Linked DNA regions of Struthio camelus. The protein of the gene in region 1 purifies or fractionates together with the protein of each later gene. This does not show direct contact. Links are inferred from orthologs where the notes say so. Each region holds a gene or a part of one and is shown in the gene's direction. Other genes may lie near its edges. The genes, in order: PDS5A, WAPL and SMC1A.

The links.
Region 2: the proteins of PDS5A (region 1) and WAPL purify together in Homo sapiens (affinity purification with mass spectrometry; 6 studies listed by BioGRID and IntAct, with this or other methods). This does not show direct contact. The link is inferred for Struthio camelus from reciprocal best matches to the Homo sapiens genes PDS5A and WAPL.
Region 3: the proteins of PDS5A (region 1) and SMC1A purify together in Homo sapiens (co-immunoprecipitation; 8 studies listed by BioGRID and IntAct, with this or other methods). This does not show direct contact. The link is inferred for Struthio camelus from reciprocal best matches to the Homo sapiens genes PDS5A and SMC1A.

The regions. Positions count from the first base shown.
Region 1 is NC_090945.1:61,486,561-61,497,756, forward strand, and holds the start of PDS5A (sister chromatid cohesion protein PDS5 homolog A), read left to right. Parts: upstream 1-6,767; 5' UTR 6,768-6,890; coding exon 6,891-6,907; intron 6,908-11,196. UniProt on the Homo sapiens protein: Probable regulator of sister chromatid cohesion in mitosis which may stabilize cohesin complex association with chromatin. May couple sister chromatid cohesion during mitosis to DNA replication.
Region 2 is NC_090948.1:33,736,124-33,746,433, forward strand, and holds the start of WAPL (wings apart-like protein homolog), read left to right. Parts: upstream 1-5,732; 5' UTR 5,733-6,004; coding exon 6,005-6,096; intron 6,097-6,953; exon of another isoform or gene 6,954-7,157; intron 7,158-8,764; coding exon 8,765-9,288; intron 9,289-10,310. UniProt on the Homo sapiens protein: Regulator of sister chromatid cohesion in mitosis which negatively regulates cohesin association with chromatin. Involved in both sister chromatid cohesion during interphase and sister-chromatid resolution during early stages of mitosis.
Region 3 is NC_090979.1:408,486-418,753, forward strand, and holds the start of SMC1A (structural maintenance of chromosomes protein 1A), read left to right. Parts: upstream 1-5,761; 5' UTR 5,762-5,948; coding exon 5,949-6,057; intron 6,058-6,924; coding exon 6,925-7,113; intron 7,114-7,199; coding exon 7,200-7,312; intron 7,313-7,386; coding exon 7,387-7,590; intron 7,591-7,672; coding exon 7,673-7,911; intron 7,912-7,985; coding exon 7,986-8,244; intron 8,245-8,318; coding exon 8,319-8,459; intron 8,460-8,533; coding exon 8,534-8,616; intron 8,617-9,689; coding exon 9,690-9,897; intron 9,898-10,015; coding exon 10,016-10,201; intron 10,202-10,268. UniProt on the Homo sapiens protein: Involved in chromosome cohesion during cell cycle and in DNA repair. Central component of cohesin complex. The cohesin complex is required for the cohesion of sister chromatids after DNA replication.

The DNA.
Region 1 (11,196 bases):
GGCCACTTGCACAATTTGTTATTTAATGCAAAAATCTATATCCAGCTAGAGACGAAGAGCTTTTAAAAACACTTAAAGCATCTTCTCTGCTCTTCTCCTCCTCCCACTCAGTGTTATTTTCACTGATTGTTCAGAGGGCTTTTTCTATTTCAACAGTTTTAACTATGGTCCTGTTTTTAAAATAAAATTCTTTCCAAGTGCAAGACATTGACTCACTTATCTCAATACACTTGCTTTATGTAATCCGCTCTGCTTGAGTTTTTTTCCCCATGCCTTTGTGATTTTTAAGCCCTGTGCATGGCCTGTACCATAGACGGATTTTTTCATGATAACAGAAAAGAAAACTTGCTTCGAGTAAGAAACAAAAACCTTGTCCATCAAGTATAAATAAAGTTCAAGAGTGCAAAAATAGCACACACAGGTCTAAAGTAGATGATAAGGAAGTAAATACAACCTTCAGAAAGAGAAGGGCCCTGTTGGCTAGGAACAGCTCAAAGGCTCTCCTCTGCCTGTCAAGAGCAGTGGAAGTTAACCTGCGGTGGCAGTCCGCTGCTGTTTGACAGGTGACAGAAACTGTCACACTCCACACCATGCCGTTCCCTTTTAAGCTGGGAAGCTGCTTTTCTTGCAGGCGCTCCTTACAACTGAGCACAAGCTCCCAGAAAGGCTCTCTCTCAAAGACTCGTAGATCTCCTGCCAGCTGCACATGATTAAAGCAGGGAGGTAGGATGAGGAAAGATGGAATACACAACAGTCACTAGAAAGTGCATTTTCCAGCAGCAGGCTCTGCTTGTTAAGGACTACTGCCTTTGTGCTCCTCTTTCACTGTTCTTTCTCCCATTGCTGGACTTTTTTCAGATGAAACTAGAACTACTTCTGACACCTGAGCACTCTTATCACTAGCTTTTCTAAAGTAAGCCAGACAGGTTTTCTATGAGCTATCCCTTTCCTTAAGGTATTCCCACCACGCATCTGTATTCCTCCCATGATTTGCTAAATGCCTCCCCAAGGACTCCAAACACCTTCCTTTCTGCTGTGTGCAGAAGGTCAGGGCTTGGAACATAGTAAACATGGGTGGCCTTGGGATTCTGGAGGCTGCAGATATGCAGCCTGACAGGCTAGAAAAGCAACAGGCAGCTATTTTCTTCGTTTAGGTGGAGAGGCTTGTCTCCTCAAAAAAGACGACGACAGTACCTGCAGTATTTCTTTCCAGCCTTAGGAGAGCCTGGAGACAGCAAGTCCTTTTACAGCTTCCCTCCTTCACTCTTTGGTAGCCTCCCATAGAGCTCAAAGCCCGGCTCCAGTATTCCGTAGCAAGGGTTATCCACACCTTCAAACTCATTTTTAATGAGTGAAACATTTCCACAAGGCAGAGCTCTCAGAGTGCCTGGGCAGCCCACCGGTGCAGATTCCACATAGCTCTGCTGCTTTGCCATGACACACGTCTAGCCCCTAGAGCAATGCAGAAAGCTGGAACTAATGAGATCAGACTAGTGGATATGTTAGTATTTCTGTTGTTTAGCACCTGCAGTTAGTACTACTGCTTAAAATTGTATTTCTGCTCCATGTTATAAAACAGCAAGAGCTCTTTTCTCTTTGCAAAGAGAAAAGAGAACAACTGCCCAACAGAGCTGTGACTTGCTCACACTATGTTTCCAGAGACTCTGTCCAAAAGTCAGGTTAAAAGGCAGTGAATAAAGATAACCCCTCTCTGTAAAATTAGAGCTCTGTCAGAACAATCAGCAGAACAGAATGGCCTTTCACGTATTCTCCAGATGTACATTTGTACCTTTCTCTGAACAGCCTTCTGACAGCAGCACCTGCACCTGTAATTCAAGATCTGCTGTGTCTCTGAAGCATTGGAAATAGTTTGTGGTCTTTTACAAACTGCAACCCTGGCAAGACTTAGCAGAGAAGCTAGGTAATAGGTTAAAGCACAAAACGTTTGAAGCTGATAAAAAAGGAAAAAAATAACATAAAACTCAGCAAGATTTTCCTGATGAGGTTAATTTTAATACTGCTGTATCCTGCTATACTGCCATTTCCTGTTTCTCATTAGGATATACATTTTGTTTTCCGCTTGCTGTGACGGGGACCTGGCCAATGGGTGAGCACTTATTGTAATACCTGGAGGATCAGCAAGAGCGCAGCAGCAAGCGTATGGCAGCATGAGGAGCGGTTCCATCAGAACGGGACGATACTGGAAAAGAGTATTACTGGAGATCACAGGTGATGGTTACTATTACTGGCATATAGAGGCAGGTGGCCTTATGGAGGAATGGAAAAGTGGAACGTACAGAATACATTATTTAGAATTTTCTGTGTTGGCAGCAGTCAGCACGGGCAATCAAACATGAACTCTACTTGCCCAAATTTTGGCTTGCTTTAGCTGCTCATGCAAATGAAGACAAGCTTGCTTTCTTTGTCTAGCTACTGCTGAAACTCTAAACGTGGCTGGGCCTGAAGGGAACTGGCTCTCAATGACTCAGACTCCAGAGCATGAATCTCCAGACCTATGCAGACACCTGGCAAGGCTTCTGCTATATGACCAGGTCCTGGTTCAGGCACTTCCACATATGAAGCCTTCTCCACTCTACAGTCTCCTCCTGCATCTGCTACACAGAACGATCCAAAGCTGGCACTGTCCAGCCAACTTTCTGCAGTATATTCTGTTCCTACCTGAAGGTCTGTTTCAAGTCCTTCAAAAGTCTGCTGTGCAAATAGGGCTGCACCCTGGTGATCCCCAGCTGCCATATCTCTGGTGACGAATCTCTCACAATTCCCAGTTCTGGTAACTCCAAATGAAGGTTTGTTGCACATTGGGATGAAGCTGAAGCACAAGAAATGTTTGGACTTCAGCACAGGCCCAAATACAGAAACAGAAAAAAGATATATTCAGGTTTGCAGAAAGCATTTGCAATAAGAGGTCACAGATGAGAAGAAAATGACTGCTGGAGCATCAGAGCACAATGTGTGCTGGAACATGAGCCAGGTTTTTCACCAAGGTGATATCGAGTTACCGGTGACCTCAGAACAGTAGAGAACACATCAGAAAGCCAGGGATCCAGGTTGGAAAAGGGCATAAAACAGTTTGTAAATTTTGCTGGCGGTCCACACACAACGCCACTCCAAAATATTTTATCACACCAAAATATGCCACAATGAAACCTAATACACTTACCAACTTACACTGATTCAAGTTGCATCATATCAATGCAACTTAAAAAAATGCAAAACAGGAATGATAGTTTGTTCATGCAGATACATCCTAAAATAATGCTAAATATCTGGGGGAATCCACTAGATCAGGTCCTAGGCTGGAAACCACATCATGCGAATCTATCAGTAGAATATTATCTACTTCATGTGTTTAAATTCACTCCCTTTTCTGAGGCCACTAGGCCAACTGAACATAGCACATACACAGCTATTACACTAAAAAAAAAAAAAACTTAATGTAAACCACAGATAGATGACCTCATCCAGATCCAGGTACATCAATGAAAAATGGCATTGCCTCCAAATTACTGTCAATATCTATTTCAACAAGACTTAACCCTATTAATTTACCTCCAGAAAGCAATACACAAGTTCACCTCACATGATTTAAAAGAAAAGACGAGAGAGCAGAGGAGAGAGAGCAGAGGAGAGAGAGCAGAGGAGAGAGAGCAGAGGAGAGAGAGCAGAGGAGAGAGAGCAGAGGAGAGAGAGAAAAGAAAAAGGTCAGCCAGCTCAGCTTAAATAGCTGTAAATGCTGGTTTTAACTAATAACATTTTTGAATGGAATGTGGATCATTTACATAAACCATCCTGCTGATAGATCAAAATCCCCAGTGGAGTCATGAGAAGAAACAGCTGGAGAGCTTAACCTCTTCCACAAGCACAGCTGGATTCAGGAGAAAACATGGCCTTATTTAATTCTGAGAGGTAGTGTAACATAACACTTAATGGCCCTACTGACATTTTTATAGTAGCAAAGCCTCTGTAGTTTAGACAAAGGCAGCAACTTCCTAAAACTCAGGATTAATAATCTACAACTTTTACTGGAGCTAACTACACATAGAAAAAGTCTATTCAAAACAGAAACATGACTGATTATTTCAGTCATTTAGTGTAGACTACAGATCAGCACACAGGGAGGAGTCAAAGACAACAGGCCATGACACACCTCAGAACTACAACCATCCTACATGCCTATTACAACATCTTCATACAGTAACCCAAGACAACATAATTCTCTTTTTTAAATTGGACAAGGTCACAGCTAATGATCCACCTACACCACACAGTGAAACAGTTGTGAATATGCCATAGATGTTCCCTAAAACCATGCCCAGGCTAACATTTTTGTCACCTCTATTGCACTTTTGCATTTGCAACACTAAGAATCTGGCTTCTCTCCCACATTAGTGCTCTCCTTAGATGAAACGTACTAGCGTTAATACAACAGAGGGAGACTTCTTAAAGAAATCGAGTGTAAACAAAGGCATGAAAAGCACAGGAAAATACCACACTAAAAAAAAAGAACACAAATGAAGAAAGCCTATAAAGGAAAGCATTCTTAAGATGTGCTTGGATGCTGTTAGATTTCCTTTGTAGGCTCTACACACGGGTATAACCTACAGCAAGACAAACTACTGCAACTTAAAAGCACTACAAACACGTGACACAAGCTAGCCCTACCCTAGTAATGGTGACTACACCCCAGGTAAAGCGGGGCTAGAACTGTCGTGATTTCAAATACTCTGGATGTCTCTGCTACTCTGTAATTTGCTTCAGGTTTGTGTCTTAAGCTTATACTCTCCAATCATATCCCAAGTCCTATTGTATAAAGCTTTTACTTCAGTAGCCAATCCTGAAGCTAGGATTTGCCACTCAGTAAAGGTGAAACGGCTGAGGAGCAACTTCATCATCATCTTTGTTCTTTTGCTTCACCTGAAACCTCTTCCAAACAACTTGCGTAGGATTTGTGCTTAAGTTCCGTATGAATTATTGTCGTATTTTAACCACAAGGTCCCACCAAAAGCCTCATAAGACTTGAGACACATACTAAACTTTGTCAAGAGAGTAAAACGTTCCCGGAGTCAGCGTTCAAATCGTTATTAGTTCGGGACAAGAGTTAAGGGCGTACTGCTCTTCAGTATGTTTTCTTCCCTCCCCTCTGAAGCCCCTACGACCTTAGGGCACTCGATTAGCAGAACTGCAGAATACGTGCAGAACATCTCCCAAAGCATACGTGAACACTACGCTGCAACTTTGGAAACGTGCTTCTTTCAGCAGTTTTAGACCGTTCAAAATAAAAGCCTTAAAGCAGTAAAAATCTTTTGATTTCGTTTTGAAGGAAACTTCGTAAACGGCCCACTTAACTCACTGGGTTCTGCTCTCTGAGAAGCAGAGTAGGGACACCGTCCTCGACACGGCTGCTCAGGGCGAGCGGCGCGGCGTTTCCCCCGGTTTCAGAGCGGCGGCTCTTTCCACAGGGGGCTCCGGGGCTGCTGGTGCCGCCGGGCGGCAACCAGCCCCCTCGGAGGCCGCTGGGGAGGAGGAGGAGGAGGAGGAGGAGGAGGAGGGAGGGAGAACGACTCGGGCGTTTCCGAGAGAAAACCGGTCGCCGCGGCCGCCGCCTACGCAGTTACAGGCCGGGCAGAGCCGCAGCGAGGCAGCGGCGGGGGCGGCGTGACCAGTTCGCCCCCCGCACGCACGCACACACGCACGCAGCGAGGGCCGGGGCAGACCCACAGCCCTTCACCGGGCCCGCGCGAGGCGGGCAGCCCAGCGGCAAGGCCGGCCCGAGGCCCCCGCGCAGCGCAGGGCCCAGCCCCAGCCCCGCCATTCACGGCCCGCGCTCCCCGGCCTGCCTCCCTCCCCCGCTGCGGGCCGGGGGCGGCGGCGCAGGGGGCGGCTCCCGCGAGCCGGGCCGGGCCCCCTCCCCGCCGAGGCAGGTGGCTGGCGACGGGCCGCCCGCAGGGCCGAGCCCCTCGGCTCGCGGGAGCACCCGCCCCGCTCCCTCCCCTCCCGTGACGCCGGGGACCGGCCTGCCGGCGCCGCCCGCGCTCGCTCGGCAGCCGCCGAGGGGCGCGGGCCGCCTCCCCGCGCCCGCCGCCGACATGGCGGGCCGCCGCCGGGCCGCGGGCTAGGCCTCGCTGGCGCCGCCGCCGGGCCGCCTCGTCCTCCGCCAGCCCCGCGCCCTATGGGGAGGAGGGGGAGGACGAGGCTCGTGCCCGGCTCCTGCCGCTTCTCGCCGGACGCGGCCGGCCTTTACCGTGTCTCGCCGTGTCCCTGGCCCTCGGCTCCCTCGCTTCTGGCGGCGGCGGCGGCTGCCGCTCGGGGAGGAGCAGGGACCGGGGAGCGGCGCGGCGGCGGCCGGCGAGAGGGGGAGCGGCGGAGCGTGCGCCGCGGGGACACAGTGCCGCTCTCCGTCCGGCCGGGGAAGAACAGCCCGGGAGGAGGCTCCGCGCCCGCTCCCGGCCCCCTCCCCTCCCTCCCTCCGCCCGCCGCGCCGCGCCGCCCAGGCCGGCCGCCGGCCGCCCGCCCCGGCCCTGGCCCCGGCCCCCGCCTCGGGGCCGCTGCCAGCCCGGCTCGGCCCGGGCGGTGGTGCAGGCGGCGGCCTCACTCTAAAGGAAGTCGTTTGGGAAGGAAAACAAGCGATTTAGGAAGGGGCGGGAGGCAGGGGAGTGAAGTCCTGCGCCATGAAAGGCAGGCCGTGTTTAGTCTGCGGGCTGGCTAATTGCCGTCCTTGTCTCTGGATGGTTGCGCTTAACCGCCCTTTTCACGTCGTTAGCGATAAAACTGGCCGCTGGCTTCGCGTCTTAATCTTTGAAAAAAGGAACTGTATGCTGCACTGCTGTGGCAGAATCTGTGTTGAGAGATAGACTTTGCTTAGAAAGGGCATGACGACAGGATGCAGGTGGGTGCAGCGGAGAACTGCAGGTCGAGGACAGCAGGGTAGTTACGGCTATCAGCCGCGTAGCGACTGGTGGGCTTTGGATCAGTAATGAAAAGGAAGGGTGTTCCGTGTCTAGTGCCGCTGCCCTGTGTTACTAGCAGTTTATAACGTGGCAGCAGAAGAGTTCTGAGCGCGGTCTAGAACGAGGCTGATTCTGGGGCAGAAACTAGCGTTTCCGCGGCCGTCACGGGATCGGCGGTGTTCGTGAAGGAGCAGGAGGAGAGCGGAGGGGTCTGGCGCCTGCCGCGGGGTGGAGGAGGGAGCGGCAGCGCCGGGCGAGAGAAGGAGTACCGCGTTAGCGGAGGGTTTCGTTAGAGAGACGTTTACTTCTGCAACAAGCAATGAGCACTTGACAGATGGACAGTCATGCAAAAGAGGGTATAATAAACAGATTTTATTTACGTGTATGAGTAATATATATATGTATAGTATCATATATAAAAAACCGGAAGAATCCTGATCAACCTTACCCATTAGCTGATTTCCAAGAACCGCACTTACATGTATAGCCATAGGCCTCCTTGAAAGCTCTGTCTCGCTGCCTGGGCCAGCCAGATAATAGGGCAGGGTCTCAACTGCTTATCTTCCTGCTTTTCACTTGGCTCCAGGAGGATGATGATTTTTTCTCACATCCCTCCTTTGTGCCTCCATTGTCTCGAGAGACCTCCCCTTCCATCTGTATTCAACCATCTCCCATCGTGGCACAATACCGCAGGAGGAAGTTAGCTGGAGATGTCACACTGCGATTTTCCTAGTGAACAGAAGCTTCTTCTCTTGTGAAAGAAGAGAATCATTTCTTCCCCAAAGGGAGTAATATTGTCTCCCATCACGATCTTCACTTGCATTGTAATTCATCCAATTCAGAGAACAAGGTGGTTTTCTCCCAGCCTAATTTCTCTTTCATTTTCCTTCGAAGAGGGAAACAAGAAGTGGCCTTTAACAGACAGCTTACACTGAAGCGCTACTTATTTAGCACCTAAGCTTACATCCTTCATCACAAGAAAGATCAGGAAAAGTCACTGCCAGTTTTGTGTCGCAGTGACTCCTGCTCCCGCAGCTGCTTCCTTTTGCAGTCTCGCTATTGTTTCACTTCACTGTCAGGGCTGACCTGTTTGCATTAGAGCTGCAACTTTAATGTGAATAAAGAACCAGAAAGTACAAAAATAATTGATAGTTTTAAGACGAACTAATTATGGGGTGGCTCACTTGTGAAACTGCAGAAGGGTGCTCAAAGTAACTTGATCACAATCCCCAACTGCCTTCCATCTGATAGCAGAGTAAGTGAAAAGCAAATCATTTTTGTCTCCAGGATTGCATGTGTTCTTGCAATACAAATAATGTTAACATTCTGAAAATGGTATTAAAAGCATTTAGTATGATTTAGGAATGAAATTGATTTAGGCATTGTTAATTTGCCAGTCACTCTGGTATTTCAGTGGTTATCTTGTAGTTATATGGTATGCTACATTTAAATAAATAAGACCAAACATTTACATTTCTAATACAATACTTAAAAGCATTCAGTCCACAGAATGTGCTGGTAGGTTTAAAAAAGAAAAAAAAAGACTCTGCTATGACTCAGTGAAGTAAAATAAGAAATTCTTCAATATACTAATATTATAAATGTCCAAAAATATGGAGGAGAACAAATATTGATCAGAATTTGTGTGTTTGGTGCCAAGTGGTGTTTTCATGCATGTACAAGGAAGCGTTTGCTTAATTTTTTCAGTATCTGGACAAGTATCAGAAACAAAATCTTTTCTCTTTAAGGGCGTGATGCTGGTAACGTGTTAATCATACGTTTGGAAAGATAGGTCATGTAAATTCCAGTCTAATGACTTTGTCTTTATATTTTTAAGTTGCCAAAAAAGAGGAAGAGAAAGGTTTTTAGCATGCTTGAATCTGATAGCCTCCATTGAACTGCATTGCTAGTGGGGTGTTGCTGCTGGCACTTCATGCATGAAAGTATGTTGTTCTTTGCCAGTTGTACACATTACAGTATTTGACACCATGAAAATGCCAGACTAATTTGGGTACTGGCAGATTTCTCACTACTTCAGTTAACACTTTAAATAGGAGGGATATTGGCATCTAGATAGTTGAAAGAACCTCTGGTACAGTGAGTGATTATAATTATCTGTATTCCTTTTTTTTATTTTCACACAACTATTTTCAAACAACACAGTAATCACCTATTATCTGTTAATTTTTTTTCATTCCTTTGTCTCTCCTTATGTCTACAGTTGGCTTGTTTTACTTGGAATGGCTTGAACATACAGCATGTAATCTGTGCTGTTTGGCACAAGTGTTTAGTCTGGTCTTCGGTGAATACTTTCATGACAGATTTTTCCATTTCAGTTTCTGCAATGCTGCCTCTTCAAATAAAAACATTTTACTGTGTTCTTGCTTATCTTATAGTTCACATTAAAATATTATTACCAAAGATGAGCCATAAAAACAAGAAAATGACAATCACTTTTACTGTTTTTGATTATATACAGCCTACTAAGACCACTCAGCAAATTTGCACCTGCTTTCTTTCTATGCAAAAACAATTTGCAGCTTAAAGTTTGAGTAACATTATGGTATATTAAGATAGACATATTTATCTTTGTCAGGTTTAAAGACAGTTTTATTTCTACTTGCAATAGCATATTGAATTTGCAATAATATATAGTATAGGAAAACATCTGAGAAATAGGGTACGTTAAAATATAAATAATGCTACCTGACAAATTTGTCACGCCTGACAAATTCATGCCTGCCTTCAGTAATCTAAAACAAGTTATCTTTCAAGGAACTTGAGGCATAATCTTCATCCTTATTGAGAGTTTCACTTTGGACAACTAATCAGAGCCCTAAATTGTAGTGATATTTTCCAGCCCTATAGAGTACAGAGGTGAAAAGAGCCCACATCTATTTCCCTCAGTAAACTTTGTGATACAATGTTGATTCAGTCCCTCCATGCCATAACCCTTCCTCTTTTTTATGGAGCCTTTCATTCTGTCCTCAGCTTTAGCTTTTATTCACCATTGAGGGAAAAGAAATGTGTGTTAACTGACACTTTTTTCTTTTTTTTTTTTAAATGGCATTTTACCCTAATGCTCTTTTAAGATGTCTTACTTGGCTATCGGAATCTCTGTATCTCCAGTTATCACTGTTTTGTCCAGGATATTGTACTTTGTGTTCCTACAGAAATAACTCCCCCCTCAGCCTGAATTAGATTCACAGAATCACAGAATCACAGAATCACAGAATGCTTGAGGTTGGAAGGGACCTCTGGAGATCATCTAGTCCAACCCGCTCTGCTCAGAGTCCTCTAGAGCACATTGCCCAGTACTCCGGAGGTAGAAATTTAATTCTTTAATTCTTTAGGTAAAAAAAGTGAAAAGGGGAAGAGGAGAAGGAGGGACAGAAGGGAGGGGGGATATATTTATATATTCTTGAAATTTTGGAAAGGGGATGGGGAGAGAACAGAGATGATGACAACAAATGATGTAATCCAAGAGGTAAAGAATTATACTTAATTGTGTCTTCTCTGCAGGCAAGAAATGAGATCATGCTTATATGCCTGACAGAAACCCTGCTGCCACAAGGACAGAATTTGAAATAAGTTTGCACTTCAGTTTTGATTTGTGGTGAATCTCATTCATGTGTTGGATGTTCTCTGCTATGCTGCTTTTATCAATCTGATATGTCAAATTTCATAGAAATCAAAAATCCATCCTGCTCTGTTGAGTCTGGAAAGAGGAAAAACAAACTGTGCTTAATATTTCTGCCTTGCACATGACAAGAAGTAATAAGCTGACTTTCATTGTAACTGCCATGTGTTTTTATCTGTTGAATATCACTGTCTATTTTTAAAAAAGGCATTGAACTTATCCTATAGAAGATTTAATATTAGACATCTTAGAGATCTATGTATTTAAGGGCATTGTCTAAAAATTAAATCTAGGAGTAAAATAGTATATTTGTATATTAAAAAAATCAGATTTCGTTTATATTACTGCAATAATTAAACCAAGGTTAATGGAAAAAAAGAGTAATGTTTGGCATTTCTATAACTTATACCAACCCAGAAGGGTCTTATAAATGAATATACCAAGGAGATCCATTTCAAGCATCAGTCACTGAGGCCACCTCTCACACAAAGTGCAACAGCTGTTTAACTACACCATATGGTACCAGAGGGTAGGTTAAGAGACGTGAATGTAACATCCAGCTGAAACCATAGGAACTCTGTATGTAGA
Region 2 (10,310 bases), on another chromosome or scaffold:
TCCTCTTTAGTGCTGCAAGGTTTCAGCTGTTCCTGGATTTGCTTTTTTAGTTGTAGTTTACGTTGCTGCTGTTGGTATCATCACATATAACCCTTAAAAGACACGCATACTGCTCTCAGTGCAGCAGTAGCTTAGTTGTTTGACCTAACTTTTCTATGGTTCAATGTTTTGTAACTGCTGCAGAAGTGGTCAGTTACTGGCTGACTTCTACTCTTTCTAAAAAGTAGAAACAAGTACTTGGGAAACACAAAAGTGAAAACAAAAATCTTGTAAATAAAAACTCAGAAGGGGAACTGAGTGATTATAGGATCTGTGTATAAAGAGCCACACAAACTTAATAAAACGAACACTAAGAGGACAAAGGAATATAATGCTCACATATATGCCCTTTCAAACTGGTAAGGGAAGAAAAGTAGGAAAACGAACAACAGACATGGCGCTGGTCCTCTGTTGCTAGAGGAGGAGTAGAACAGGAGAATGAGAGTCCTATCAAAAGAACTCTTTATCAGAAAGAAGATTTGAAACACCAGTTGCTTGTTGCATTTTTGTGTTTTTCACTCCCCAGCAGATATTTTGTCAGACAGTGAGTTTTGGTAGCTTGTATTAAGGGCTGGCATGGTGAAGATAGACATAGATTCAGCATTCAACAATAATGTGCATCATCAAGCTCTCTAAGAAAAGTTGGGGGAGAGGGGAAGGTTGGTGTTGAATTTGGTCCTCTGATAAGGCTGCAGCAGATCTCAGGTATTCGAGAGACTCAGTCCCCTTTTATTCCGTAACAAAACAATGTGAACTTTACCTTACCAAAGAACCTAAGCTTTCTTTGCCTTGAAGGATCACTTCTAAATTAGGCTGCATCCTCACTGCAAGTGAGTTTTTCTCCTGAAACACCTTGACGTGTTGTAAATTCTTTGTGGGAAAAGGCACAGGCAGTTTATTCTCTCAGTGTAGCTTGCCGAGATAAACTCCATAGCGGAATAAAGTTCTGATCGTGACAAAGTACAAGAAGGTCGAGGCTACGTTGTGCTTTTCCCACTAGTATCTCACCACAGGTTTTTCCAGTAGACTTGCAGGCTGTTCACCTAGGGGAAAAAAATTGCACAGAACAAACACCAAGAATTTAGCCGTAGGTGAATGACTACTGTTGGTTTGTCAAGCAGAACTAGTATTTCTAGAGGCTTTTACATAACAGAGATGATGAAGCCTCTCACATGATTGCAACAGATAGGTGTACAGGCTGGAGAGAAGGTGGAGCAGCACAACTTTTTTTTCTGCTGGCTGCCTGGGGCTGATTCATTAGTGCCATGATCCAGAACCCTTTTATCAGCGAGAAGCAGCTCCTAGCTGCGCTTGTATAAGCATTCTTTTGTTTCCCTCAGTGGTGCTTGTTTTAATCTTTCCGTTATTAAACTTAATGCTGGATCTTGGCCACCTCCCATGATGAGAAAGCTACAGTATGATACAAACACTGAAAAATGTGATCCAACACTGTATCAAGCTTCCCCTTTTGGATCTTTTGGAAAGTGGTCGGTCTTCTCAGGGTTCCATGTCAGTAAATAAGCAATATTCTACTCGGGTGAAACACCTTAGTAAGAAAAGCCATTTTATTGACAAAAATCACAGTTCCTTACAAGCTGAGTTGCAAACCTCTCCCTCTCCGCTGGTGTTAAGTGCTGCTTTACGGTCCACTCTGATCCAGCTGCTGGTGTTCTCAGCACGGCGCAAGTGCATTTTTCTACCCACTCCCAGACTACCACTGGTGTTGCTGAACTTCCTCCACCTCGTATTAGCAGTGATACTAGTGTATAAATAACTATTTTCAGAGCTATTTCAGAGAGGTTGACTAAAACATGATAATTAGGTACTTAAGGCATCTATTCACCCTCCTTTCATCTTTGCTATGCAAATAGCAAGGGGAAAATTCCATCCCCCGCCAAGCGAATGGCAGAGCCCTGAGTGCTCTCACCGGGGCATGCTGGGTGACACCTCCTGAAGGACAGGAACGGGAGGAGACTGACATTTTACAAAGAAAAACCAAAACACATGAAATGTTTAACATTTTAAGTGGCACTAATTGGGACATGAAAGCTTTGCAGCAGCTGTGAATGCAGCAGGACATCCTCTTCTCCCCCATCCTTTCCCACCTGGAAGAAAGGCAAGGAAGGAAGGATTGTTGAAAGCTGGGGGGAACATGGGAAGCAAAGAGGGGCTAGGCTGAGACACAGAAGAAGAGGAAAGAGGAGAAGACAGAGAAGAGGACTGAGGGGTTAGTGGGTTTCATGATCCTGAGGAGAGAGGTCTGGATGTTAGGAATAATAGAGCCTTCCTGTGAGTTAATGTTTGCCTTTGGCAAACAGTGTTTAGCAGGGCCTGGGGGCAACGGGTTATTGAGCTCGTTCCCCTTTTATGGGAAAAGGGGGTGCAGGGAGGATGCGTTACGCTGTTAATTCAGATACTTGATATAAAGGATAGTTACTGTTCTGATTTGCATAAAAATCTGCTTGGGAGCCTAACTTTAAGTACACACAACTGTCAAATGCTAGTTTTGGCCATGAAGATAAGCCAAGCACTGAGAAAGCTTTCTGACAGCTTCTAAAAGGACGCTGCTGTCTTCATCTTTCCCCATAGTAACTGCTAACTGGGAACTCTTCCATTTTCCTACTGTGTTGCCTCCATTTTCTTCTGGAGGAAAATGTAAGTTGAAACACTTTTTAAAATCTTGTAATGGCTGCTGAAAGATTGAATCATGTAAATGGCTCCATCCTTGGCTATAACTTATTTTGAAAAGTCTGCACTGTACCCCCATAGAGATCTCAGCATAGAACTTGAGAAACAGAAGTGGGAGGGTTCATCATTATCAGGATGAGATATGTCTGAGTAACTCTTCTGTCCTTACAAGTTTCTTCTTCTGCCCTACTTTTCCCTCTTTTATCTCTAGCCTTGAAGCATTTGAGCTGTGTTTTTCAGTGCTTTCTGACTTTATTACTAGTAATGATGCTTGTTTGGGGGGGGGTATGGAATGTGATAAGAAAGCTGTAGAAGTCTGTCTGTCTGTCTTTCTATTTTAAGACAGGAAATTTGAAGACTTAAGATGGCTGCTTACCTCTCACTATTTTCTTTATGGAGGCGAACGCCAAAATGGAGTGTCCCCTCTGTATCTGTTTTTCTGTAAAGGAAGATGGCAACTATCAGTAATAGAATTCCACAAAAGGAGTAAGATGCCTGTTAAACTCCATCCTTTAGGAGAATTAAACCCACCTACTGCCAAGAGTAGGTGGGATTTGGCTTATATTTGCTCTGTCTTGGTACTTGCATATTTGAGGTAAGCCAGATAAAATAGAAATAGCGAAGATTAACATGCTGTTTGCTAACTTATTAAGGTATTTGGTATAAACATTTTCAAAAGTATCTAGAGTAAGGTAGGTGTTAGAAGAATTGGCCTGTCTCTCCTGTTCTTGAACATGACAATTTGTTAGCTTTCAAATAAGTGAAAGGTTTTATTAGCCTTACAGCCTTCTGCTAATACCAAAAAGAGGATAGTCAGCACATAAGTTAGGTTAAACTTACCCTCTGTTAGTCACGTGAAATTTAAGCGTGACCGTGATGCTGCAGTGCTTTGGATTACTGTATGTGGGGATTCCGCAGAGCGTAGAAATACTGTTGGAGAGACGAAGCTCGCCGGCAGGGGCTAGGGTACGTGAGAGCTTTCAAACAAACTACTACTAGCCAGCGACTGTCACTATCCTGCCAACTCTTCTAAACTGCTGCTGCTTAAGTGACTTGAGTAGCAGTAGCTCAAGCTCTAAAATTTCTATTTTATTTCCAAATACTCCTAGAAAGTATTCTCAAACAGCTTGTTATTAACAGTTTGTTAGCCTTATTCTGGCTATGTTCCTTATGTTTTGTGCCTCTCAGAATAGAGTTGTTTATGCTGTAATGAACTCCACAGAGCCTGACTCCTGTGCTCATTCTGAGTTGTCACAGGACTGTTTTTGGCTCTAACAGAGCAGTTAGTCACCAAATAAGATTTTTGAACTCCTGCAATAGAATGCAAAACTCAGGCTGGTTTAGACATCCATTTTACTCTTGAAGTTTAAACCAGCTAATTAGCAGCTCTGCTAAAAGAATTGTCGTGGGGGCAGGCGGGAGCTGCTCACCCATTTGTATTCAACTTGTGTATTTTAAAATGTATAACCTGTTTTTAATAGCTCTTCAATCACCGAGTCAGGTGGTTAAGATGTAAATAATCTTTTAAACCTTCCTTCAAACAGAATGAGCACCTCTATCATATTGCAAATCAAGCCTGCACTTCTCATCACGAGGCCCTGGTCTACTTTATCTTCGCTTTCTCTTTCTAGTGGCAATTGTATAGTGTCTTTTAAGGAACACGTTTGGAGAGTTTGTTCTCTAAAAATACTACCTGTCAGTACATCAATAGGTGTCAGGTAAAGGCAGAAAGTTGGTTTACTGACAGGATCATTAAACAAAACAAGACTCTGTCACGTCTACTAAAAAAACTATTGAATTTGCGTTGTGTGAAGGAAAGGGAAAAATCGAGGATAAAAGTCATGATTCTTAACTGCAAGTTCGGAGACAACCCTAAGCTCTTCCGTGCAGTGGTGTCAGCGGGTTCCCCCCCTTCTTAATTTCCAGTGTTTGGGGCCTGTATTTTAAACCCTTTCTGCAGCTGGCAGGCTTGCTAGCCGCTCGCTGAGACTGCTGTTAGGCTCCGGGGGGGGGGGGGGTGGTGGTTTCTTCAGAGGAGCGAGCAGCTCGGAAACGACCAAACTCTCGCTGTGGTGGGGGGGAGCATCGGCGCTGTGTTTGTTCCGTGCCGCGGCGGCAGCCGCACGGCCCCCCGCGCCCCGCAGGGCTCCGCGCCGCGCCCGGCCGGGCCGGAGCGACTCGCGAGCCGCCGGCGTCGGACCCCCTCCCCCACCCCGCCAACTACAACTCCCAGCAGGTGCCGCGCGGGGCGGGCGCGGCGGCGCCGGCGCGCGCGGGGCGGGCGCATGCGCGGCGGCGCGGCCGTCGGTTGAGTAAGGCGGGGTGCGATTGGCTGCGGGCGGCGGCCGGGTGCGGGACGCGCAGTGACGGAAGGAGCGGGGGGCAAATGGCGGAGAGATGGTCCCGGGGCCTGTCCCGAGCGCGGCGATAATCCCGGCGCGGAGGAAGCGGCGCCGGAGGAGGCGGCGCCGGGGGCCCTAGCGCCTGCGCCCGCCCGGGAGGCCGCCGCCGCCGCGGGGGGAGGGGCGGAGGCGGGGGAGCCCCGTCGGCGAGCGCCTGTCGCAGGCGGCGGATCGGCGGCCAGGAACCGCGGCGAGAGCCACATCCGTGGCGCCGCCGCAGCGCGCCGGGCCGCGCCGGGCCCCGCCGCCCCCGCTGACGCCGAGGTAGGTGCCGGCGCGGCTGGCGGCGGCCGCCCGAGGCCTGCGCGGGCCGCCGCGGCGGAGCAGGCCCCGGCGGGGCGGCCCCCGGCCCTCTCCCGCTTCCGGGGCGGCGGCGGCGGCGGTAGCGCCCCCCCAGCGGGGAAGGCCGGGGCGGCCGCGGCGGGACTTTGCTCGGGGGCGAAGGGCGGCCGGGCCGGGCCGGAGCCCGCGGCGGGGGGGAGCGGCCGGCGGGGCAGGCTCTGCCCTTGGCAACCGCCTCGCTGGGCCTCGGCCGCCGCGCGGGCCGGGCCGGGCCGGGCCGCGGGGGCTGCTCTGCGGCCCGGCCGGGTTTTCCTCCGCGGCGGGGGAGGGGGCCCGCGCGAAGGGAAATGACATCAGGCGCGGCCGGGCCCGCACGGCGGGGCCACCCGGTTCCGCCAGCACCCGCTGCCACCGGCACCCCCCCGCCCCCCCGCAGGGGGAGGGGAGGCAGAGAGAGAGAGAGGAGGGGAAAAAAAAAAAAGAAACTGTCACCGTGGGATTTCATCAGCTGCTCCTGCCTCCGTGCATTTAACCTATTTTCCTTTCCTTCGATTATGTAAGAGGGGTGGCGTAGCAAGGAGCAGCGAGGAAAGATGACTGATGTGCCTTCTTTACGATTGTCGGTTGTTTATGTCCGGTCGGCCTGGCAGGGTAACTCCGGAGAACACAGGCGGTTTATTTTTCGGTTTGTGCTTGTATTTATCTTTCTTGTCCTACTCCACATACTGCAGCACGAGGTGTGGAAAGGAGAGAGGCAGGGAATGGAAACAGAGTGAAATTGGCCGAGTTTATTATTTTGCCCTGAGTGAAAAAACAAGGGAGAATTGAAAGTGATTAATTAAAAAAGAAAAATCCTTTTCTGTTGATATTCTGATTTAAGGAGGTACATACGTCTGTCCTTATCTTTAATCAGACTTCAAGCTATGCGTTTATAGTATAGGGTACTTATCTTTCCCCAGACACTCATCTTTTAACCTGTTTCCATCACGTAGCATATATATATATTTGAGTATTGGCCGTTTTGTTCAAATCTTCTTTAGAGAAAGCTTTAATTTTTAATCTTGTGAATAGCACGGTCTAGAGTGTAGAGCTCTACTTACTGAAAATGAAGTACTTTTGGCTACAGAAATCTTTTTTTCAAAACTGAACAGCACAAGTCACAGTTTAAGCCTGCCATTATTTTTTGCGGATGCTGAAAGGGCAAACTGTTGGGAATATTTATTTAAGTCAGGGAGAAAAATGTGCTTGTGGTGAGCAAAATGAATTTTTCCTGATAAGAGTTACATAGAAATTCAAATGTTATTAAATAGTTCATTTTTTATAGCTGTAAAAACTGGCCTACTATGAAATATTTTGATTTCTATTACAAGTATTTTCAAGGAGCGGTGAAATAAAACTAGTAAGTTTGATTTGTTTTGCTGTTCATTTTCTAAAATATGTGGGGAGACTGTAGTTTCACTCTTGGATGGAAAATAGGAAATTAGCTAATATCAGGGGAGCAAAAACAGTAGTTTGACGGCCATGTTAGGAGTGCCGCACAGTAGACAGGTGACGCTATGGGAAGAGAGCGCTTGCTGTTTAGTTTAATTCTGAGTAGCAATGAGAAGTCCGCAGAATGGTATTTCATAGCACAGTTCTGGCCAGTACATAAGCATATGCCTTTATCATCCATCTGCTTAACTGCTGGGGAGTTGAATGTTTCCCAGCACGGTTGTTCCTGGATCTTCTGCATTGCAACACCATCTGGTTGGTAAACTTCTGAAACTTATTTTTTAGTTCACCTAGCCCCACAGATGACCCTAGGAATTGCTTGGTTGGTACCATAAGTGAAGCTTGGCCTAGTCTGATAACGGGAGACTATTATTAGTGAGACGATCTTGCTAGGCTGCAGTGATAGAATGACATTTTTGGAAAACAGTCTGGCTTTTTTGGCAGAAGTAAGTCCGGTATTTCAGGTTGAGAAACAGCGTGTATCATGATGAGAACTAAAATATGAAAGACGGACAGTACGCCACCGATTCAGGGGAATAAAAATAGTTTTTTCTAACAAATTTATAGTGTGCTCACAAGTTTATTAATGAAGATTTCAAGCCCTTTTTTTTATACTTTAATATATATGCAAAGGGTTGGCACTTTAAAAGTTGTTTCTTTAATTCTGTAGCTTAAAGGAATTTTTTTCCCTTTTTCCTAACAGTTTTTTTCTACTCTGGAGAGTACTTTCAGACAAAAGAGATGGACTTGGTTAGAGTCATATTGACTATTTAAAAAAAAAAAAATCTACTTTCCTGTTCATGTTAGGGCTGAAAAACTTAATAATAATAGTTAAAAAAAAAAAAAAAGATAGAGATTCTGGTTTGTAAAGTAGATATGTTAGCTCTATGTTCTATATTGTCATTTGTCTAGGAGTCACGGTATTTGTTTTGGCAACAAGAAACAAGCTGCTCTGTCTTCCTTCTTGAATCAAACAAAAGCAGCAATAGAACACACCAAGGGAAGTGTTTAAATGTGTTTCTGTTTAATCTGTTTATATTTAAACTTTACTCTTTTGACAGAGCAAGCTCTGAACTGGGCTACAGCTATAACAGCCAGTAAACAGTGATCATTTGTGTTTGTTTGCAGTAGGTATCCTCCATGTTCTTAGAAACGAATTTAGAAATGTCTGTTCCTGTCCGTTCACCAAATCAAGCCCAGCCATGGGGGGTTGCTGTGTACTGGTTTTGGCCATGACTGTGCAGATGGTATAAGCCACAGGGTATTACCACAAAATATGCTTACTGTGTAAGCCTGAGCTTTTAAGAAAAGCATGAGGTGAAATTGTTATTTGTGACGAATTCGTATTTAAAACATCTATATCAAGTTGGAATATTTTGACAGTCCCTTTAATTTTTAACTACGGAGAGCCTTCTTAAAATGATACTGTGTTATGGGATTCTAGCGGAGTGCTACACGTTCAGATGTGCTGAAAGTATTGTTTTGTTTTTTGCTGATGTTTCATGGAAGCAGTGCCATCTATACTAGGAGATATAAAACTAGAGCAAAGCACATACCAAAAATAATGCACTCATAGCAGATTCTTCTTACAGATTCATTGTGCAATATCTTTATTTTATAAATGTGCAAGTAACTGGATTTCAGGTTAAGTTGATGGATGTGAAACTTGTTGCAGAAAATGTTGACAGATAATGGCGTTCACCTGTGGATGAATTCAGTTAGTCTGTAGAAAGGAACTGATGATGTATCTGTTGTTAATGTGAAGCGTGAATGTCTCGTGCTCATAGGCCCAATAAAGGGTGGAATTGCAATCGTTTGTACTAAAAAGTTAGTAAAGCTGTTTCTTCTTTCTTTTCCAACAGAGAATATGAAACAGGAGCCAAAATGACATCCCGATTTGGAAAGACCTACAGCAGGAAAGGAGGAAATGGCAGTTCAAAGTTTGATGAAGTATTTTCCAACAAACGGACCACCCTTAGTACAAAATGGGGAGAAACCACCTTCATGGCCAAATTAGGACAGAAGAGGCCCAGTGTCAAACCAGATATTTCCGAAGTTCCTAAAAAACCCAAAGTTGAAGATGAGGTAACAGAGGATCCATTTGGATTTGACAGTGATGAAGAGTCTCTTCCCGTGTCTTCAAAGAATGTGTCACAGGCTAAAAGCTCCTCTCAGCTGGAACCCGGTGAAGCTGCTCAGTCTGAGGACTTCACTTCTCTACTTGAAGCTAATAGCAGAATTAATCAGCCAGACAGCGGAGAAAACATTGTGTCCAGCAAGTGCATATCTTTTGATGATACTGTTCCCAGCTTAAAAGAAAAGAGCACAAGCAAAAACGTAGAAGATGGAGAATGCAAAGGCAGCAGTGCTAAACTCGTAACTGCAGGTACATTGACCCAACTGTCTGAATAGTGTTGTTACCCTCTAGTTTTTCAGATCTACGCTGAGGATTAGTGCTTTCTGAGGTTGATTAAATATTCTAATCAAACCTTGGGGCAGCTGATTTTTCATCTCCTTTTAAACTATAAGTGCAACGAAACAATGTATGTCTTGTGTTGGTCTGGGATCCTTGGTACTCGATTCCTTATGTCTGCAAATTCAGATACGGTGCTTTAAATTCAACATAATGCGTTAGCCCACTTTGTGTAGAATGGAATAATTATCTTCCTTTTCTGACGTTTGTTCTGAGCTTTGTGCTTTCATGTCTTTTCAATATGTGGTATCATAAAAAGTGAAGGTTTGGTAATAATGGAATGTAATGTTCTTAAGATACTGACTCTAATTTAGTGTAGGTAAATGGGGATAAGGCTTGCTGCCTGCCTGCTTAATGATTTGTATGGAAAAAGTGGGTGCTCTGAATTTCTGTTGCACAGAAATATGTTATTTTTCTCAATTAGCACACTTTTTATCAATGTGTTTGTAAAAGCTTCAGACTTAGGAAGCAGAACTCTGTCAAACTTCTAATAGGGGCTGTTTTCAGGCCCCAAAGTGTCTGTTTATAGGATAACTTTCTGATTTTGAGCGAGAATGCACAAACCCCGTGGTGCTAAACATCACTCTAGTTTTGTTCAAGTCATTCTTGGATAAAGATCAGGTGCCATTATATTTCATTAGAAGTTTTTATATAATGGGCTGATTAAACTGCAACTCCTAACATTGGGCAGAAGATCACATTAGATGAATCTTGAGGAAGATAACAGCTACTGACTTGCTCTAGATTGTCACAATGGACTTTAATGAGAAGAACTTACGTAACTCTGAAGTCTGAGGTATAGCTGACTTATCCCTCGGATCAGAAATTTGAGTGGACTTGTTCACTTGTTATACAGTAGACAAGGAAGATACTGAATAGTGTGAGATTTGTGTCACGGTGTAAGAGGAACCAAAAAATGTTGATGAAACTGTAGT
Region 3 (10,268 bases), on another chromosome or scaffold:
GCCGCTACCTGCGGCACCTGAGCGCCGCCGACCTGGGGGTGGCCGGGGGCCAGGTGCTGCCCCAGCTCCTCTGGGACCTCACCGACCGCTTCCGGGGCCCCGACGCCCTCTGCCGCGCCACCAAGTACCTCCAGGCCGTGGCCATGTTCGCCTCGGCCTACGTGGCCGTGGCCATGGCCTACGACCGCCACCGGGCCATCTGCCGGCCCTGGGCCGCCCGCCGGCGCCGCCGCGGCGCCTGCTGCCGGCGCTGCCCTCGCCGGGGCCCCGCCGACGCACCCGGGCCGCACCGGCACCCGCCGGCGGCACGGGGCCGCACCGGGCACGCCCGGGAGGTCCCCAGGGGACACGGGGACACCAGGGACACCCGGGAGGTCCCCAGGGGACACCGGGATCCGCCTCGGGGACACGGGGACACCAGGGACCTCCAGGAGGTCCCCACGGGACACCAGGATCCACCTTGGGGACACGGGGACACCAGGGACCTCCAGGAGGTCCCCAAGAGACACCAAGACCCACCTTGGGCACGTGGGGACACCACGGACCTCCAGGAGGTCCCCAGGGGACACCGGGACCCGCCTCGGGGACACGGGGACACCAGGGACCTCCAGGAGGTCCCCAGGGGACACCGGGACCCGCCTCGGGGACACGGGGACACCAGGGATGTCCATGAGGTCCCCAGGGGACACCGGGACCCGCCTCGGGGACACGGGGACACCAGGGACCTCCAGGAGGTCCCCAGGGGACACCGGGACCCGCCTCGGGGACACGGGGACACCAGGGATGTCCAGGAGGTCCCCAGGGAACAAGGGGACCCACCTCGGGGACACGGGGACACCAGGGACCTCCAGGAGGTCCCCACGGGACACCAGGATCCACCTTGGGGACACGGGGACACCAGGGACCTCCAGGAGGTCCCCAAGAGACACCAAGACCCACCTTGGGCACGTGGGGACACCACGGACCTCCAGGAGGTCCCCAGGGGACACCGGGATCCACCTTGGGCACGTGGGGACACCACGGACCTCCAGGAGGTCCCCAAGAGACACCAAGACCCACCTCAGGCACGTGGGGACACCAGGGACCTCCAGGAGGTCCCCAGGGGACGATGGGACCCACCTTGGGGACATGGGGACACCAGAGATGTCTATGAGGTCCCCAAGGGACACCAGGACCTGCCTTGGGGATATGGGGACACCAGGGATGTCCAGAACATCCCCAAGAGACACCAGGACCTGCCTTGGGGACATGGGGACACCAGGGACCTCCAGGAGGTCCCCAAGAGACACCAGGACCCACCTTGGGGACATGGGGACACCAGGGACCTCCAGGAGGTCCCCAAGAGACACCAGGATCCACCTTGGGGACATGGGGACACCAGGGACCTCCAGGAGGTCCCCAAGAGACACCAGGATCCACCTTGGGGACACAGGGACACAAAGGATGTCCATGACGTCCCCAGGGGACAATGGGACCCACCTTGTGGACATGGGGACACCAGGGATGTCCATGAGGTCCCCAAGGGACACCAGGACCTGCCTTGGGGACATGGGGACACCAGGGACCTCCAGGAGGTCCCCAGGGGACAACGGGACCTGCCATGGGGACATGGGGACACCAGGGACCTCCAGGAGGTCCCCAGGGGACACCAGGGCTCTAGGGATGCCCAGGACTTCTACTGGGGACCCAGGGACACGAAGGACGCCCGGGACATTCCCCAGGGACACCAGGACCCCCCTTGGGGACATGGGGACACCAGGGATCCCCAGGACCCGTGGGGACCCCGGGGACCCCGGGGGCCGCTGGCCGCCGCCTGGCGCAGGGTGACCCGGGGTCCCCAGGCTGCCCAGAGCCTCCTGTCCCCAGGTCCTGGTGCCACCGCGTCCCCACTGTCCCCAGGTCTCCAGCCCCCTCCGTCCCCCCCTGTTCCCCCCGTGTCCCTGGGTCCCCTTCCTCTGCCACCTCGTGCCACCCCCCTGTCCCCAGGTGCTGGTGCCACCCCTGGGTCCCCCCATGTGTCCCCCACGTCCTTGTTGTCCCCAGGTCTCCCTGCCACCTCCAGGTCTCCTCCTGTGTCCACCATATCTCTGTTGTCCCCAGGTCCTTCTGCCACCCCTGGGTCGCCCACGTCCCCAGGTCCTGGTGCCACCCTTGGGTCCCTCCCTGTGCCCCCCGTGTCCCCCATGTCCTCAGGTCCTGGTGCCACCTCCAGGTCGCTCCCTGTGCCCCCCATGCCCCCCATGTCCTCAGGTCCTTCTGCCACCCCTGGGTCCCCCATGTCCCTAGGTCCTTCTGCCACCTCCATGTCCCCAGGTGCTGGTGCCACCCCTGTGCCCCCCATGTCCCCCATGTCCCCAACTCCTGGTGCCACCCCCACGTCCCCCACGTCCCCAAGTGCTGGTGCCACCCCCATGTCCCCCATGTCCCCCACGTCCCCAGGTCCTTCTGCCACCCCCGGGTCCCCCACGTCCCCAGGTCCTTCTGCCATCCCCACGTCCCCAGGTGCTGGTGCCACCCCCACGTCCCCCACGTCCCCCACGTCCCCAGGTGCTGGTGCCACCCGAGGGCCTCCCGCCCGGCCGGTTCCCCCCGGGCACCCGGAGCAGCAGGCGCGCCGGGGCGGCGGGTGCCCGGCGGCGGCCTGGGCGGTGGCCTCGGCGGTGGCCTCGGCGTGGCGGGAGCTGCGGGGGCGCTGGGGGCCGCTGGCCACGGCCTGGGGGCTGGCGCTGCTCTTCGGGCTGCCCCAGGTGGCCATCTTCGGGCAGCGGGAGGTGGCGGCGGGCGAGCGGGACTGCTGGGCCGTCTTCGTCCGGCCCTGGGGCGCCCGGGCCTACGTCACCTGGGTGGCGCTGGCCGTGCTGGTGGCCCCGGCCGCCCTGCTGGCCGGGCTGCTGGCGGCGGTGGCCCGGGCGGTGGGCCGGCGGCGGGCGGTCGCCGGGCTGGGCCGGGCCCGGGCCAAGAGCCACCGCATGGCGCTGGTGGTGCTGGCCGTCTACGTGGGCTGCTGGGCCCCTTTCTTCTGCGCCCAGCTGTGGGCCGTCTGGGACCCCCGGGCCCCCGTCGAGGGTGAGCGCCCGGGGACGGGGACGGGGGGGACCTGGGGGGACCTGGGGGACCTGGGGAACATGGGGGAGATGGGGGATGTGGAGGGACATGATGGAGATGGAGGCACATGGAGGGTCATGGAGGACATGGGGGGGACATGAGGGGACATGGGGGGACATGGAGGGACATGGGGGACATGGGGGGAACATGAGGGGACATGGGGGGACATGGAGGGTCACGGGGGGACACGGGGGACATGGGGGGACATGGAGGGACATGGAGGGACACGGAGGGACACGGAGGGACATGGGGGACATGGGGGGACATGGAGGGACATGGAGGGACATGGGGGACATGGGGGGGACATGAGGGGACATGGGGGGACATGGGGGGACATGGAGGGTCACGGGGGGACACGGGGGACACGGGGGGACATGGAGGGACATGGGGGACATGGTGGGACACGGTGGGACATGGGGAGACATGGGGGACATGGGGGGACACGGGGGACATGGGGGACATGGGGAGACATGGGGGACATGGAGGGACATGGAGGGACATGGGGGGACATGGGACATGGGGGGACATGGGGGACATGGAGGGACATGGAGGGACACGGAGGGACACAGAGGGACACGGAGGGACATGGGGGGACACGGAGGGACATGGGGGGACATGGGGGACATGGGGGACATGGAGGGACACGGAGGGACACGGAGGGACACGGAGGACATGGGGGACATGGAGGGACATGGAGGGACACGGAGGGACATGAGGGGACACGGAGAACATGTTTGGCCGCGGGTGGCCGCGGTGGCCGCAGCGGTGGCCGCGGCGGCGCTGACGGCGGCGGTGGCCCGCAGGCCCGGCCTTCACCATCCTCATGCTGCTGGCCAGCCTCAACAGCTGCACCAACCCCTGGATCTACGCCGCCTTCAGCACCAGCCTGTCGCGCGCCATGGCCCGCCTGCTGTGCCCCTGCCGCCGCCCCCGCTGACCCCCCGGCCACCACCGCGGCCACCGCGGCCACCACGGCCACCATCACGGCCACCATGGCCACCACCGCAGCCCCCGCCCCGGCCACCATGGCCACCATCGCAGCCACCACGACAGCCACCATGGTCACCACGGCCACCGTGGCCACCACCACGGCCACCACAGCCACCACCATGGCCATCACCATGGTCACCACGGTCACCACGGCCACCACCGCAGCCACCGCCACGGCCACCATGGCCTCCACGACAGCCACCATGGCCACCACAACCACCACCACGGCCACCACGGCCACCACCATGGCCACCATGGCCACCATTGCAGCCACCACGACCACCACCACAGCCACCACAGCCACCACGGCCACCACCATGGCCACCACGGCCACCACCACGGCCACCACGACCACCACCGCAGTCACCATGGCCACCACAGCCACCACCACAGCCACCATGGCCACCACCGCAGCCACCACGGCCACCACCACAGCCACCACGACCACCACCACGGCCACCATGGCCACCACCATGGCCACCACGACCACCACCGCAGCCACCACGACCACCACCGCAGTCACCATGGCCACCACGGCCACCACCGCAGCCACCACGACCACCACAGCCACCACCATGGCCACCACGGCCACCACCACAGCCACCACGACCACCACCACGGCCACCACGGCCACCACCACAGCCACCACAACCACCACAGCCACCACCATGGCCACCATGGCCACCATTGCAGCCACCACGACCACCACCGCAGCCACCACGACCACCACGGCCACCACCATGGCCACCATGGCCACCATTGCAGCCACCACGACCACCACCGCAGCCACCACGACCACCACCACGGCCACCACAGCCACCACGGCCACCACCATGGCCACCACGGCCACCACCACGGCCACCACGACCACCACCGCAGCCACCACGACCACCACCACAGCCACCACGACCACCACCGCAGCCACCACGACCACCACAGCCACCACCATGGCCACCATGGCCACCACCATGGCCACCACGACCACCACCGCAGCCACCATGACCACCACAGCCACCACCATGGCCACCACGGCCACCACCGCAGCCACCACGACCACCACCGCAGTCACCATGGCCACCACAGCCACCACCACAGCCACCATGGCCACCACCGCAGCCACCACGACCACCACCACGGCCACCACGACCACCACAGCCACCACCATGGCCACCACGACCACCACCGCAGCCACCACGACCACCACCACGGCCACCATGGCCACCGCGGCCACCGGGGCCGCTCGCACGAGGGGGCGGGGCTTGCACGGGCCCGCATCGCACCAATAAACATGGCTCAACCCGTAGGCCTCTGCCCCTCGACCTTTGCCCTTTGCCCCCCTGACCTTTGCCCTTTGCCCCCTCCCCCGACGTTCCCCCTCGGCCCGGCGCCCTCCCGTTGCCATGGAGACGCGCTCCCCCCTCCCCTCTCCCAACCCGGGCCCCGCCCCATGCAAATGAGCACCCCCCGCGCGGCCAATCCGCCTGCGCCGGGGGCGGGGCTCCGTATGCAAACCGCGCCGCCGCTCTCCCCCCCCCCCCGCCTCCACCCGACGGCTGACGCGGCGCGAGGGGCGGGGCGGCGGGGGGAGAGCGGCGGCGGCGGGAGCCTATCAGCGCCCGCGCGGCGCGGCGGCGGCGGCCAATGGCGTAGCGGGTGCGAGGTGGTGGGAGGGGGAGGGGGGGAGGAGCGGGTGTTCTCGCGAGAGCGCGGCGCGGGGCGGTGCCGGCCTTGGCGCGCGCGCGCGCGGCTGCCGCGGTCCCCGTGTCCCCCCCCGGCTGCCGTAGCCGCCCCGTTTCCCGCCCTCCGGGCTCCCGTAGCGGCCCGGTTCCCCGCCGGCTCCCGCCGCCGCCATCATGGGCTTCCTCAAGCTCATCGAGATCGAGAACTTCAAGTCCTACAAGGGGCGGCAGATCATCGGGCCCTTCCGCCGCTTCACCGCCATCATCGGCCCCAACGGCTCCGGTGAGACCCCCGCCCTCCGCTATCCCGTGGTGCTTTGCGCCCGCTCCCAGGACGCTCCGCGTGCCCCGGCGGTGGCCCGGCTGCCCCCGCTATCCCACAATGCACCTGCAGCCTCGCCCTCTCGCCTCGGCCTTCCCAGGATGCACCGCGGGGCCCTTCGAGTGTCCCAGGATGCTCTGTGGGCCTGTTTGGGCATCCCAGGATGCACCGCGGGGTGCTGCGGGCATCCCATGATGCCCTGTGGGCCCCTTCGGCCTTCCCAGGATGCACTGCGGGGCCTTTCAGGTGTCCCATGATGCCTTGCGGGGCCCTTCGGCCTTCCCAGGATGCACCGCAGGGTGCTGCGGGCATCCCATGATGCCCTGTGGGCCCCTTCGGCCTTCCCAGGATGCACCGGGGAGCCTTTCAGGTGTCCCATGATGCTTTGTGGGGCCCTTCGGCCTTCCCAGGATGCACTGCGGGGCCTTTCAGGCGTCCCATGATGCCTTGCGGGGCCCTTCGGCCTTCCCAGGATGCACCGGGGAGCCTTTCAGGTGTCCCATGATGCCTTGCGGGGCCCTTTGGTCCTCCCAGGATGCACTGTGGGGCCTTTCAGGTGTCCCATGATGCCTTGCGGGGCCCTTTGGTCCTCCCAGGATGCACTGTGGGGCCTTTCAGGCATCCCATGATGCCTTGTGGGCCCCTTCGGCCTTCCCACGATGCACCGGGGAGCCTTTCAGGTGTCCCATGATGCCTTGCGGGGCCCTTCGGCCTTCCCAGGATGCACCGCGCTCTCGCTCGTCCCGCGGCGCAGGGGCCCGGCTGCCCCCTGCTCTCCCACAATGCCGTGCGCCGCCTCCCCCCCACCCCCCCCCTCACTTCCCGCAGGCAAGTCGAACCTGATGGACGCCATCAGCTTCGTGCTGGGCGAGAAGACGAGCAACCTGCGGGTGAAGACGCTGCGGGACCTGATCCACGGGGCGCCCGTGGGCAAGCCGGCCGCCAGCCGGGCCTTCGTCAGCATGGTGTACTCGGAGGAGGGCGCCGAGGACCGCACCTTCGCCCGCGTCATCGTGGGTGCGTGGGGGGCGCCGGGTGGGGGGGACGGACGGACGGACGGACGGACGCCGGGCCGCCCTCACCGCCGCCCGCCGCCGCCGCAGGCAGCTCCTCCGAGTACAAGATCAACAACCGGGTGGTGCAGCTGAGCGAGTACAGCGAGGAGCTGGAGAAGCTCGGCATCCTCATCAAGGCCAGGAACTTCCTCGTCTTCCAGGTGGGGGGTGGGGGGGGCAGGGGGTCCCGGCCGGGCTGGGGCGGGGGGGTCCCGGCGCTGACGCCCCGCCGCAGGGCGCCGTGGAGTCCATCGCCATGAAGAACCCCAAGGAGCGCACGGCGCTCTTCGAGGAGATCAGCCGCTCGGGGGAGCTGGCGCAGGAGTACGACAAGCGCAAGAAGGAGATGGTGAAGGCGGAGGAGGACACGCAGTTCAACTACCACCGCAAGAAGAACATCGCCGCCGAGCGCAAGGAGGCCAAGCAGGAGAAGGAGGAGGTGGGGCGGCGGCGGCGGGGTGGGGGGCGGCGGGGCGCGTCGCGCCGGCGGGGTCCCCACGGCCGTTTCTCGCCCCCGCCAGGCGGACCGGTACCAGCGGCTGAAGGACGAGGTGGTGCGGGCCCAGGTGCAGCTGCAGCTCTTCAAGCTCTACCACAACGAGGCCGAGATCGAGAAGCTCAACAAGGAGCTGGGCCTGAAGAACCGGGAGATCGACAAGGACAAGAAGCGCATGGACCGGGTGGAGGACGAGCTCAAGGACCGCAAGAAGGAGCTGGGCAAGATGATGCGGGAGCAGCAGCAGATCGAGAAGGAGATCAAGTAGGTGGCGGGGCCGGGAGGCGCCGGGGGCGAGCCCGGCCCCGGGGCCGCCCTCAGCCCGCCCTCGCCCCAAGGGAGAAGGACTCGGAGCTGAACCAGAAGCGGCCGCAGTACATCAAGGCCAAGGAGAACACGTCGCACAAGATCAAGAAGCTGGAGGCGGCCAAGAAGTCGCTGCAGAACGCGCAGAAGCAGTACAAGAAGCGCAAGGGCGACATGGACGAGCTGGAGAAGGAGATGCTCTCGGTGGAGAAGGCCCGGCAGGAGTTCGAGGAGCGCATGGAGGAGGAGAGCCAGAGCCAGGGCCGCGACCTCACGCTGGAGGAGAACCAGGTGGGGCCGGGGCCGGGGCCGGGCGGCTCGGGGCGCCGCCGGGGCCGCCGCTGAGCCGCCGCGCCGCCCCCCAGGTGAAGAAGTACCACCGGCTGAAGGAGGAGGCCAGCAAGCGGGCCGCCACGCTGGCCCAGGAGCTCGAGAAGTTCAACCGCGACCAGAAGGCCGACCAGGACCGGCTGGACCTGGAGGAGAGGAAGAAAGTGGAGACGGAGGTGAGTGGGGCTCCCCGGCCCCGCCGCGGGCGCTCCCGCCCCCCGCGGCCGCCCCTCACCCCCCTCCGCCCCAGGCCAAGATCAAGCAGAAGCTGCGGGAGATCGAGGAGAACCAGAAGCGCATCGAGAAGCTGGAGGAGTACATCGCCACCAGCAAGTGAGCGGTCGTCCCCGAGGCGTCTGCCTCCCCGCGTCCCCATCTCGGCGTCCCTGGGGTGGTCCCTGCGGTGTCCCCCGTCCCCCTGTCCCCGTCTGTGTGTCCTTGGAGCGGTCCCTGAGCTGTTCTTTGCCCTCCCGTCCCCATCTGTGTGCTCCTAGGGTGGTCCTTGAGGTGTCCCCCATCCCCCTGTCCCCATCTGTGTGCTCCTAGGGTGGTCCTTGAGGTGTCCCCCATTCCCCTGTCCCCATCTGTGTGCTCCTAGGGTGGTCCTTGAGGTGTCCCCCATCCCCCTGTCCCCATCTGTGTGCTCCTAGGGTGGTCCTTGAGGTGTCCCCCATCCCCCTGTCCCCATCTGTGCGCTCCTAGGGTGGTCCTTGAGGTGTCCCCCATCCCCCTGTCCCCATCTGTGTGCTCCTAGGGTGGTTCCTGAGGTGTCCCCCATCCCCCGTCCCCATCTCTGCGCTCCTAGGCTGGTCCTTGAGGTGTCCCCCATCCCCCTGTCCCCATCTGTGTGCTCCTAGGCTGGTCCTTGAGGTGTCCCCCGTCCCCGTGTCCCCATCTCTGTGCTCCTAGGGTGGTCCTTGAGGTGTCCCCCATCCCCCTGTCCCCATCTGTGTGCTCCTAGGGTGGTTCCTGAGGTGTCCCCCATTCCCCTGTCCCCATCTGTGTGCTCCTAGGATGGTTCCTGAGATGTCCCCCATCCCCCTGTCCCCATCTGTGTGCTCCTAGGGTGGTTCCTGAGGTGTCCCCCATCCCCCTGTCCCCATCTGTGTGCTCCTAGGATGGTTCCTGAGATGTCCCCCATCCCCCTGTCCCCATCTGTGTGCTCCTAGGGTGGTTCCTGAGGTGTCCCCTGTCCCCATCTCTGCGGTCTTGAGGTGTCCCCCGTCCCCGTGTCCCCAGCTCTGTGCTCCTGGGGAGGTCCTTGAGGCATCCCCCATCCCTGTGCCCCACACCTGTGCCCCCTAGGGCCGTCCCCGAGGTGTCCCTGCGCCCCCAGGGGGCTGCCCTAGGGCTCGGGTGCCCCCCGTGCCCGGGCAGCCCCCGAGGTGCCCCCCGCGCGCCCGCAGGCAGTCGCTGGAGGAGCAGAAGCGCCTGGAGGGCGAGCTGACGGAGGAGGTGGAGCTGGCCAAGCGCCGCATCGACGAGATCAACAAGGAGCTCAACCAGGTGATGGAGCAGCTGGGGGACGCCCGCATCGACCGCCAGGAGAGCAGCCGCCAGCAGCGCAAGGCCGAGATCATGGACAGCATCAAGCGCCTCTACCCCGGCTCCGTGGTGCGGCCGCGAGCCCCGGGGCTCCCCCGGCCCCGGAGCTTGCCCCCCAACCTGCCTGCCTGGCCCCCAAACGTGCCCCCCACCCCGGGCCCGCTGACCCCCCGCCGCCTCCCCCCAGTACGGGCGCCTCATCGACCTGTGCCAGCCCACGCAGAAGAAGTACCAGATCGCCGTGACCAAGGTGCTGGGCAAGAACATGGACGCCATCATCGTGGACTCGGAGAAGACGGGCCGCGACTGCATCCAGTACATCAAGGAGCAGCGGGGCGAGCCCGAGACCTTCCTGCCCCTCGACTACCTGGAGGTGGGACCCGGGCGCGCGGGGACCCTTGGAGACCCCCGGGGGGCTCTAGGGACGTTGGCGGCGGGGG